2 linked regions of the Neurospora crassa OR74A genome follow. The protein of the gene in region 1 interacts with the protein of each later gene in a pairwise test. Links are inferred from orthologs where the notes say so. Each region holds a gene or a part of one and is shown on either strand. Other genes may lie near its edges. The genes, in order: rpt-1 and NCU03028.

What was found.
Region 2: the proteins of rpt-1 (region 1) and NCU03028 interact in binary tests that used the Saccharomyces cerevisiae proteins (3 or more experiments, as listed by UniProt). The link is inferred for Neurospora crassa OR74A from reciprocal best matches to the Saccharomyces cerevisiae genes RPT1 and DSK2.

The regions. Positions count from the first base shown.
Region 1 is NC_026501.1:8,944,180-8,948,723, reverse strand, and holds rpt-1 (26S protease regulatory subunit 7), read left to right. Parts: upstream 1-1,565; 5' UTR 1,566-2,132; coding exon 2,133-2,135; intron 2,136-2,199; coding exon 2,200-2,291; intron 2,292-2,362; coding exon 2,363-2,477; intron 2,478-2,554; coding exon 2,555-3,664; 3' UTR 3,665-3,922; downstream 3,923-4,544. Other genes in the region: NCU02839 (T-complex protein 1), read right to left, coding at 1-324, 431-1,086, 1,161-1,212, 1,326-1,376. UniProt on the Saccharomyces cerevisiae protein: The 26S proteasome is involved in the ATP-dependent degradation of ubiquitinated proteins. The regulatory (or ATPase) complex confers ATP dependency and substrate specificity to the 26S complex.
Region 2 is NC_026501.1:8,392,113-8,396,551, reverse strand, and holds NCU03028 (deubiquitination-protection protein dph1), read left to right. Parts: upstream 1-1,786; 5' UTR 1,787-2,055; coding exon 2,056-2,490; intron 2,491-2,555; coding exon 2,556-3,416; 3' UTR 3,417-3,869; downstream 3,870-4,439. Other genes in the region: NCU03029 (hypothetical protein), read right to left, coding at 3,870-4,439. UniProt on the Saccharomyces cerevisiae protein: Involved, with RAD23 in spindle pole body duplication. Involved in the ubiquitin-proteasome proteolytic pathway.

The sequences.
Region 1 (4,544 bases):
GGAGTTGACTTCCTCGACCAGGTCGGCGCTGCCGAGCTTGTCCTCGGTGAAGGAGTCGATGTCGGCGATGGGCTTGCAGCCGGTCGATTTGCAAATGAACTCAACTTCGTCGCGCTCGATGTCCTTGACGGCGAGGATGCCGAGGCGCTGCAGGAAGTGCAGGGACAGGTCGTTGACGGCGTCGCGGAGGATGGATTTCTGGATGAAGAGGACGTTGCACTTGGCTTTCTTGATCTTCTTGACCATGTTGAGGAGGTAGGTGCGCTCTTCCTTGACGATCTTGTCCATCTGGCGGTAGTCGTTTACGGAGATGGTGTTTTCCATCTGTAAGAGTGAGTTGTTAGTAAAAGCACGAAAAGGGTAGTGTTTGGGCGATTTAGGGCCAGCAGGCAAGGTGGGTAGGTTATGGTCGCCAGAAAGGTATACGCACATCAGGCTTGGGAGGGCTGAGCTGGAACTGAATAAGACCGATCCTGGCCTTCTCCATCCTGACGGGACCACCAGCGCTCTTGATGACGGGCTGTGTAAGGACGAGACCATCAACCAGCTCGCTGTCCTCGATCGTACCGCCGACCTTCTTGATTATGCGGATGTTCTTGAGGTCGACATTCTCGGCGGTCTTGAGATCTATCGTCTTGGTGACTGCGTTGACGGCCATGGGGCCGAGGAGGTTGGAGTATTGTGACACGATCTTGGAGGAGAGCGAAGTGTTGGCGGCCTGGAGGAGCGAGGCGGTATCTGTGAGGGAGATGGGTTGCGACATGTCGTGGAGGACGTCTACGGCAGCGGCGGCGGCTCTTTGGAAAGCTTCGGAGATGACTGAGGGGTGGATGCCCTTGCCTAGTAGCCTGTCGGCGGCACCGAGCAAGCTACCGCAAAGGACGACGACCGAGGTTGTGCCATCACCGGCCTCGACATCTTGGGCGTGCGACAGCTGGACGAGCATCTTGGCTGTGGGGTGCATGACCGACATGCTCTTCAACATTGTGCTGCCGTCGTTGGTGATGATGGTCTCCCCCTTTCCAGTCATGATCATCTTGTCCATACCCCGCGGTCCCAGCGACGTTCTGACGGCATCGGCGACGGCTGGTGCATGTCTCTGTGTCAGCACCCCAGACAACAACGACACAAGACGGAATGACAAAATGTTGTAGGCATACCTCTGGCGGCGACAATGTTGGATGAGCGAACGGCGATGGGCTTCTCCTTGTCCTGTTTACATGGTGGGCTATCAGCAACTGGCTTGCCACAGAGCTTCACCCCTCCTCCTGGAGCTTTCGCACCGACTCCTATCGAGGGGTCAGGTTCCAAAAAGCGGGACGCACCCTGAAAGTCGCATTGCTCGCCGTCTGGGTAGCTGCCGGTGCGGTCGCCATGGTGCAAGCTTGTTTGATCTGGTATTTGGGATTATGGGAGATAGTAGACGGGAGGTCGGATGGGGGGATCAGAAACTGCCGGAAATTCGAGTTGACAGTTTTGGGGAATCGGCTTGCGCTGGGTGCAGTGCAGTTGTTGTGTTGTAAGGCAGAGCTCTCCTCTTCTCCTTCTTTGCTGGTCTGGAATCAATGGGCCAAAAACACACACACACACCGTCCCCTCCGTACCAATGTTTCCACTGCGGGACCGTAAAGTGAGTGCTGGCGCGGGCGCAAAGGTGGGCTGGCAGGTGGTAATTTTTTGTCGGCTGCTTTTTGCTGAGCGGTGGGCGGTGGAAAAGGTACCTGCGGCGCTGTAACTTTACACAGTCTAACCGGATAGGGTTAGGTAGGTGCTGTCAAGGTGGCACCCACCCGTAGCTCCCTCGCCCGCAAGGCAGCGCATGGATTACGGCAACGATTGAGCTTCGACCCTCTGTCAGTGAGTGGTGGCAGTTGGACCTTGACGAACCATCTCCATCCATCCATCCATCACATCAAGCAAGCACTGAACACCCATCAAACCAACTTGAACCCGACACACCACATCAAACCCGCGCCGAGATCTCTACAACCCCACGAACGACCCACGCCAAACAAGGAATCTCTCGCCCGGAGCCATCGCGACTTTAATTACCGACCCGATCCTTTCGATTACCCACCCTTCTTCGCCTTACCTAGTCCAAACGGGAAGCGTCATTCCCACCCGCCGTCATCATGGTATGCTTGCAGTCGCCCTACCCAAAGGTGCAACGCCACTTTGCACGACTGACACCGGGAATAGCCTTCTGCCACAGGTCAAAACTGGGAGAAGTACAGGAAAACGTTTGGCGACGATGAAGTCGAGGAGAAGAAGATCACTCCCCTCTCAGACGAGTATGTTGCCGCCCAAGAGAGCCCGCCCACCACTACCACCGCAACGGACAAGTCGTCTAACCCCCGTCAAGGGATATTCAGGTCCTCAAGACATACGGCGCCGCGCCCTACGGTGCTGCCATCAAGAAGCTAGAACAGCAAATAAAGGAGAAGCAGCAGAGCGTGGATGAGAAGATTGGCGTCAAGGTATGCTAGTCTTGCGGTGGCTACCCTACAAACCGCGAAGCGCATCTAGCTGACCAGTGATACTTTTTGGTCTACAGGAATCAGATACCGGCCTTGCGCCCCCTCACCTTTGGGATGTGGCAGCCGACCGTCAGCGTATGTCAGAAGAGCAACCGCTTCAGGTAGCGCGGTGCACCAAGATCATCCCTGACGAGAAGGACGAATCGAAGAGCAAGTACGTCATCAACGTCAAGCAGATCGCCAAGTTTGTTGTCCAGCTGGGCGAGCGAGTCAGCCCGACAGATATCGAGGAAGGAATGCGCGTCGGCGTCGACAGAAACAAGTATCAGATTCTCCTTCCGCTACCTCCCAAGATCGATGCGAGCGTTACCATGATGACGGTCGAGGAAAAGCCTGACGTCACATACGGCGATGTCGGTGGTTGCAAGGAACAGGTCGAGAAGCTACGCGAGGTCGTGGAGATGCCCCTCTTGTCGCCAGAGCGGTTCGTCAACCTCGGTATCGATCCCCCCAAGGGCGCCCTGCTATACGGACCTCCCGGCACCGGTAAGACGCTTTGCGCCCGTGCCGTTGCCAACAGGACAGACGCCACCTTTATCCGTGTCATTGGTTCCGAGCTGGTTCAAAAGTACGTCGGTGAGGGTGCCCGCATGGTCCGCGAGCTTTTCGAGATGGCCCGTACTAAGAAGGCTTGCATCATCTTCTTTGACGAAATTGATGCTATTGGTGGAGCCCGGTTCGATGACGGCGCGGGTGGTGATAATGAAGTTCAGCGTACTATGTTGGAGCTCATTACGCAGCTGGATGGTTTCGATGCCCGTGGCAACATTAAGGTTATGTTCGCTACTAACCGTCCTTCCACGCTGGATCCCGCCCTGATGCGTCCCGGACGTATCGACCGCAAAATTGAGTTCTCTCTCCCCGATCTCGAGGGTCGTGCCAACATTCTGCGCATTCATGCCAAGAGCATGTCAGTCGAGCGCGATATCCGATGGGAGCTCATTTCTCGCCTGTGCCCGAACGCGACGGGTGCTGAGTTGCGTAGTGTTTGCACGGAGGCGGGCATGTTCGCCATCCGTGCGCGCAGGAAGGTGGCGTCGGAGAAGGACTTTTTGAGTGCGGTGGACAAGGTCATCAAGGGCAACCTCAAGTTCAACTCTACTGCGGCCTATGCCCAGTACAACTAAACGGGGAGGAAGAAGCGCATCAATAGCGGAATGGGGAGTTTGGGGTTTTTGGTTTGTGTTGAAACCGGAAGTCTAGATGTGTAATAGATGATGAATCAAGAGCGGCTCGAGATGGCACTCATAGCTGGGACTTGGGAGAGTTTGGACCGCCAGATCCCACACAGTAGGCACAATGCAGTAGGCTCTCCTGACAAGCGAAATGAACATACGGGCGGAATGAATAGGTATCATGCCTACTGTTGTTGATGATGAACATGGATTTGAAGCGATTGCATACCTATGTGACAAAATGTGACAGCAAAACTCCATGGCAGACATGGTGAGAATTGTGACGATGAGGTGTTACGACTCCGCCGCCGTGGATATCCAGACTTCCAAAATGGGGAGACGGAGCTGCTCCCGGGATACCCTTGGCAGTGACACCATCCAAGCGAAGCGATAAGGCAAAAAGGCGGGTTACGTTGAACGATAAGGAAGCTGTAGCTCAATCGTGTCGGGTGCCGCCGTCGAGATACCGGAGCACGGAGAGGTCTTGGGGGCAAGTCATGGATGCAAAGGGGGGAAGGAAACAAATGGAAATCAAGCGAAGGGGGAAAAGTTGCAAAAAAATTAGAAACCGTGGTCGCGCTGGGGGTCGAACCCAGGACCTATGCATAACTTCCAATGGCTTGGAGGTATCTAATTGCGTGTGTTAGTATGGGACAAACACTTTGGAGAAGGTATCTTCGGGGTCAAGACTCACAAGAGCATCGCGGTAACCACTCCGCTACGTGACCATTTCTGGTTTGTTGGTTGCCTGCTTGTACCCCATGGTCAGCTTATAATAGCAGGTGAGGGGTTTGCAGATGGCTTGAACATCGATAACCCTAACCCCCTTGAA
Region 2 (4,439 bases), about 550 kb from region 1:
AGGAGTCCTCGAAGAGTGCCTCGTATGTCCATATGATGACTCCTATTGCGTCCAATTTCTCATGTGGCTTGCCGGCATGGGAAAAAGACCATCTGTAGCTGAAAGACATGCAGCGGGCGGGACCTTCCATGAAAACTGCAGTTTGAGACATTGCTAACGAGCGAGGAAGATTCCATTAGATCCTTGGGATCCTGGTGTCGTCTGTCGATAAGTTTCGGTCCAACGTGGCAGCACAGCCTTTCCTCAACGAAGCCCGGGATTGGATCTCTTCGAGGCCCAGAACCGGAAGGTTGCATTTCACGAGATCGATTCAGGCAGCGCCTGTCCGCTGAATCCCGTATACAACAACCCACATGACCGGCGTCGCACGCGTAGCAGCTCTACCTTGACGGGCCATCTCTTGGGAAAGCGCTGATCTCCTCCTCAGTCCATGCCCTTGCCCACGCCAACTCCACTTCAGACGGACGAACGAAGAAGAATCCTCATCAACGTGAGGGCACTCGCTGCTAGTGCGTCGACATCTCGCATTGACGGACAGCCTATCATAGTGTAATAGTTCCATGATCTCAAAGGTTTGTGGAAGACAATGGTCGCTTAAGCACGTCGTATCCTTGCTTGGCCCGCAGCAAGAAGAACTGCCTAGGCGGTATGCTCTAAAGTGCGGTTAGAGATGTGTCTTGATGTACACCAAGGCTACACCAAGGCGGTGAAGGAGCAGATGCTCGATATCCTTGATACACTTACCTGGAGTATCCTGGCATGGTCCACGGACCATGCACTCTGAGCTGTACATACCTGTCTGGTATAGTCCATATGTTCTACCTCCTAGTTCGCTGAGGTTGACGCGACGGCCCATATAATGCCGCCATAACAACAAACGCTACTGATCAACCGAAAACGTGAGTAGTTTGCGAATACGATTTTGTTGTGCAGGTTTGACGGAAGACATCAACGAAAGATTATTCTCGCCAAACCGGCTATCGGCTGAGGGTCACTGAACCTTCAAGAATGCTGATTGCGCATCAAAGTAGGAGGTTTGATGCGTTGAGTTTCTTTCATCCACCAGAATAAAAGTGTAGGCAGAAGCGATGAAGTGTCTGCCATCTGAAGAAAGTTTGTTCAAAACCAGAGAAGGGAAGAGGTTTAGGTTTGTCAAGGGAAAGAGTGAGACGATTCGCCCTCGTCCATTAGTTTAGAAGGTACATGGATTTGGTTCGAAGCAGCAGCTAATCGACAGTACCCTGTCATCACACACATGCGATAACAAAAGCTACTGGACAAGCTGATAAGATGGGGGGAACCGGTCAGGTGTCAGGTCATGTGGATGCCGAGAGCCCGATAGAACCTCAAAGAAGCGGATGGGTGTGAGAGCAGGAGAGTACTATCAAGGTGTCGCAGCTGACTGGAACTAGTAGGTGACAAGATAGTGGCTCACCATCTATATGGCACGCAGAAGTTGCAATCAGGCACCGTTCGTATCATCCATCGATTCCATGTAGTATGTATACCTATGTATACGCCTAGTGACCGGCGTTCGTTACGTCGAGGCCCTGTGGGAAAGCTGAAGTAGGGTACTAAGGTACTGTAACATGCACTTGGTAGGTAGGGTTAGGGATGGAGTCGTGTTCAACGACAGAAGTGAAGCCTAAAAAGGCAAGAACCTCGGTGAACACTACACTACCTAGTATACCTTAATGACGGCTTGTAGTGGGGTCTGCTGCCTGCCGTGGAGGGGCTCTTAATGCCATGCCACCCACCTGCCACTGTTGGCGGCAGCGCTTATCGGCCTCCGCCTGTGACCTTCCAACATTACAACAACTCAATTACTTTGGTTCCCAACACAACCCTTTTCCGTAGCATCACCATTCCTCAACTTTCACCAGCACACGAAGCTATCGTAATTCCATACGAACGACTTTGCAGCAGGCTTTCACATAATCCCATCACAAAGTGCTGAACTCGAACGTGGGGCGATCGGAGCTCCCCTGAGACCAACGTCATCATCCACGACCGCCATTAACCGTTTCATTGCCGAATCGTAAAGCGATAGAAATCATGGCTGAGGCTTCAAATACTGGCGGCGATGGCCAGATTACCTTCAAAGTAAAATGCTCAGGCGACAAGAACCACACAGTCACCATTGCCGAGTCTGCGACCGTCCTTCAGCTCAAGACCCTGTTAGCGGGGGAGGAATACGAGAACATCTCGCCGGAGCAGCAACGCCTCATCTACTCCGGAAAGGTCATGAAGGACGATGAAGTTCTTAGTTTCTACAAGATCAAGCACATGAACACAGTGCACATGGTTAAGCGTCCAGCCAGCGCCGCGACAGCCAGCAGTGGCTCAACCTCGACACCCGCTCAGCCCGCGATACCTCAGAACATGGCTGCCGGCACTCCCTCGAATAACCTTTTAGCTGGCCTCACAGGCGCTCGCTTTGCCGGTCAGGTGCCGCTACCAAGCCGAGACCTGTTTGGGCCGGACGGAGGAGTACGCCACCCCTTTCTCGGCCCCCTGGACCCTTAACATAGCTGTTTACTAATGATGTTTTATAGATGGGCGCGCCTCCTAGCGAGGATGAAATCGCGAACATGCTCTCGAACCCAGCGATGGCCCAGGTCATGGCCGAGGCGTTCAACAACCCCGCCGTCATCGACCAGATGATTGCCTCCAACCCGATGTTGGCCAACATGCCCGCTGATCGCGCTCGCGAGCTTCTCAACTCTCCGATGATGCGCAACATGATGACGAACCCGGAGGCACTTCGCATGGCGGCACGCATGCGTAGGATGATGGGCGGAGGCGCCAACGCCTTTCCAGCGCCCGGGGTAACGGACAACACTCCGAACGCGACGACCGGTGCCGGTAATAACAACGCCAATGCCGATGCGCAGAACCCGTTCGCCATGTTTCTTCCATTTGGTGTTCCTCCGGCGGGCGCTCCCCCAGCAGGTAATCCCTTTGCCGCGCTCTTTGGAAACCCCGCGGGGTCTTCGCCTGCGTCTACCGGAGCTTCGACCGAGAGTGCCAGGAGCGGGGATGCCGCATCTGCTCCGGCTACTGGCGCCACTTCGGGGTCTGGGCAGCAAGCAGATCCGTTGGCATCTTTGTTCGGAGCGCTTGGAGGTGCTGGTCAGCCTGGTCAGGCTGGTGCCGCGAACCCTTTTGGTTTGCCCCCTATCTCGCCTGAGGCCTTGCAGCAGATGATGCAGGCATTTGGTGGCGGTGGTTTGGGTGGTTTTGGCGGAAATCCCGTTGCTCCTCCCGACAACAGGCCGCCAGAGGAGAGGTATGCTGAGCAGCTGCGTCAACTCAACGATATGGGTTTCTTCGATTTTGATCGGAACGTTGCTGCACTACGCCGCAGCGGTGGTAGCGTACAGGGTGCTATCGAACATCTTCTGGGCGGTTCTTAACTTAAATTTCTTTACTAGACGGTGCAGAGATGTGGACCGGAGATTGACAGTTATCTGCTGTTCCTCAAGGATACGGCGGTATTCACAATGAACGACAGAATGTCGAGGGGATAGTGGATTGAAGGATGTCCAGGGAGTGCAGTGTTATCTCCTGGCGAGGTCATTGTTGGGCCGTGCTAGATATATTTTAATCAAATATCTAGCGATAATGGTTGCTCAGGAGGACGATAGACAGTCCAGCACAGAGACGATGCTCAAAACAACACCCCTTCAGCGGGTGTCCTCACGTAAGGAGGTTTACATGTTTACAGTTTAGCGATCTTTATCAAACATGTCTCCTCTTGCTTGAATCAACAAGGTTCTTTTGTCCTCTAAGAAGACGAGTTCGCATACAGTAGCCGGGCTAACTATCAACACCACTAATCAACTCTTATTTGCATGCTATCATTCCCTCTACCGATAAAGCACCGTCAAATCCCCAGCCGGCACCGGAAAGTTCCTCAATTTATCCATAATCTCCGCGTCCGTCATGTTCCTCTCCGTCATGATCTGATCAAAACAATGTCGTCCATCCATATACTTTTGCAACGGATCCCCACTAGCCTTCATCATCATCGCCATCTTCTTGCTGTTCGACCCCTTCCCCCCCGGACCCCCATGACTCCCGGGTTCACGATAGGTATCATAATGTCCGCCCGGCACCGCCACTTTATGTTCCCTCCCCATTTCCCCTTCGCCATACCCCCTCCCACTTTTCCCTTTGCCTGTGCCAGTTCCGGTGTCGGATGGCGAAACAGGTCTAGCCAACCCCGTAGCTAGCGCAGCCAGATACTGTTTCGAGATAACATACTTGTGCACCCTGTACAAACACCCCTTGATGACGCCAAATTGAACTAAGCGGCGAACGTCCACGTACCGTAGGACGTCGAAGCCGGAATCCATATGGCCCTTGAGCCATTCGGCCACGGTTTTGCCGACGCAGAAGGTAGTCATTAGGCGGATTAGCATGTAGTTGGATATGCG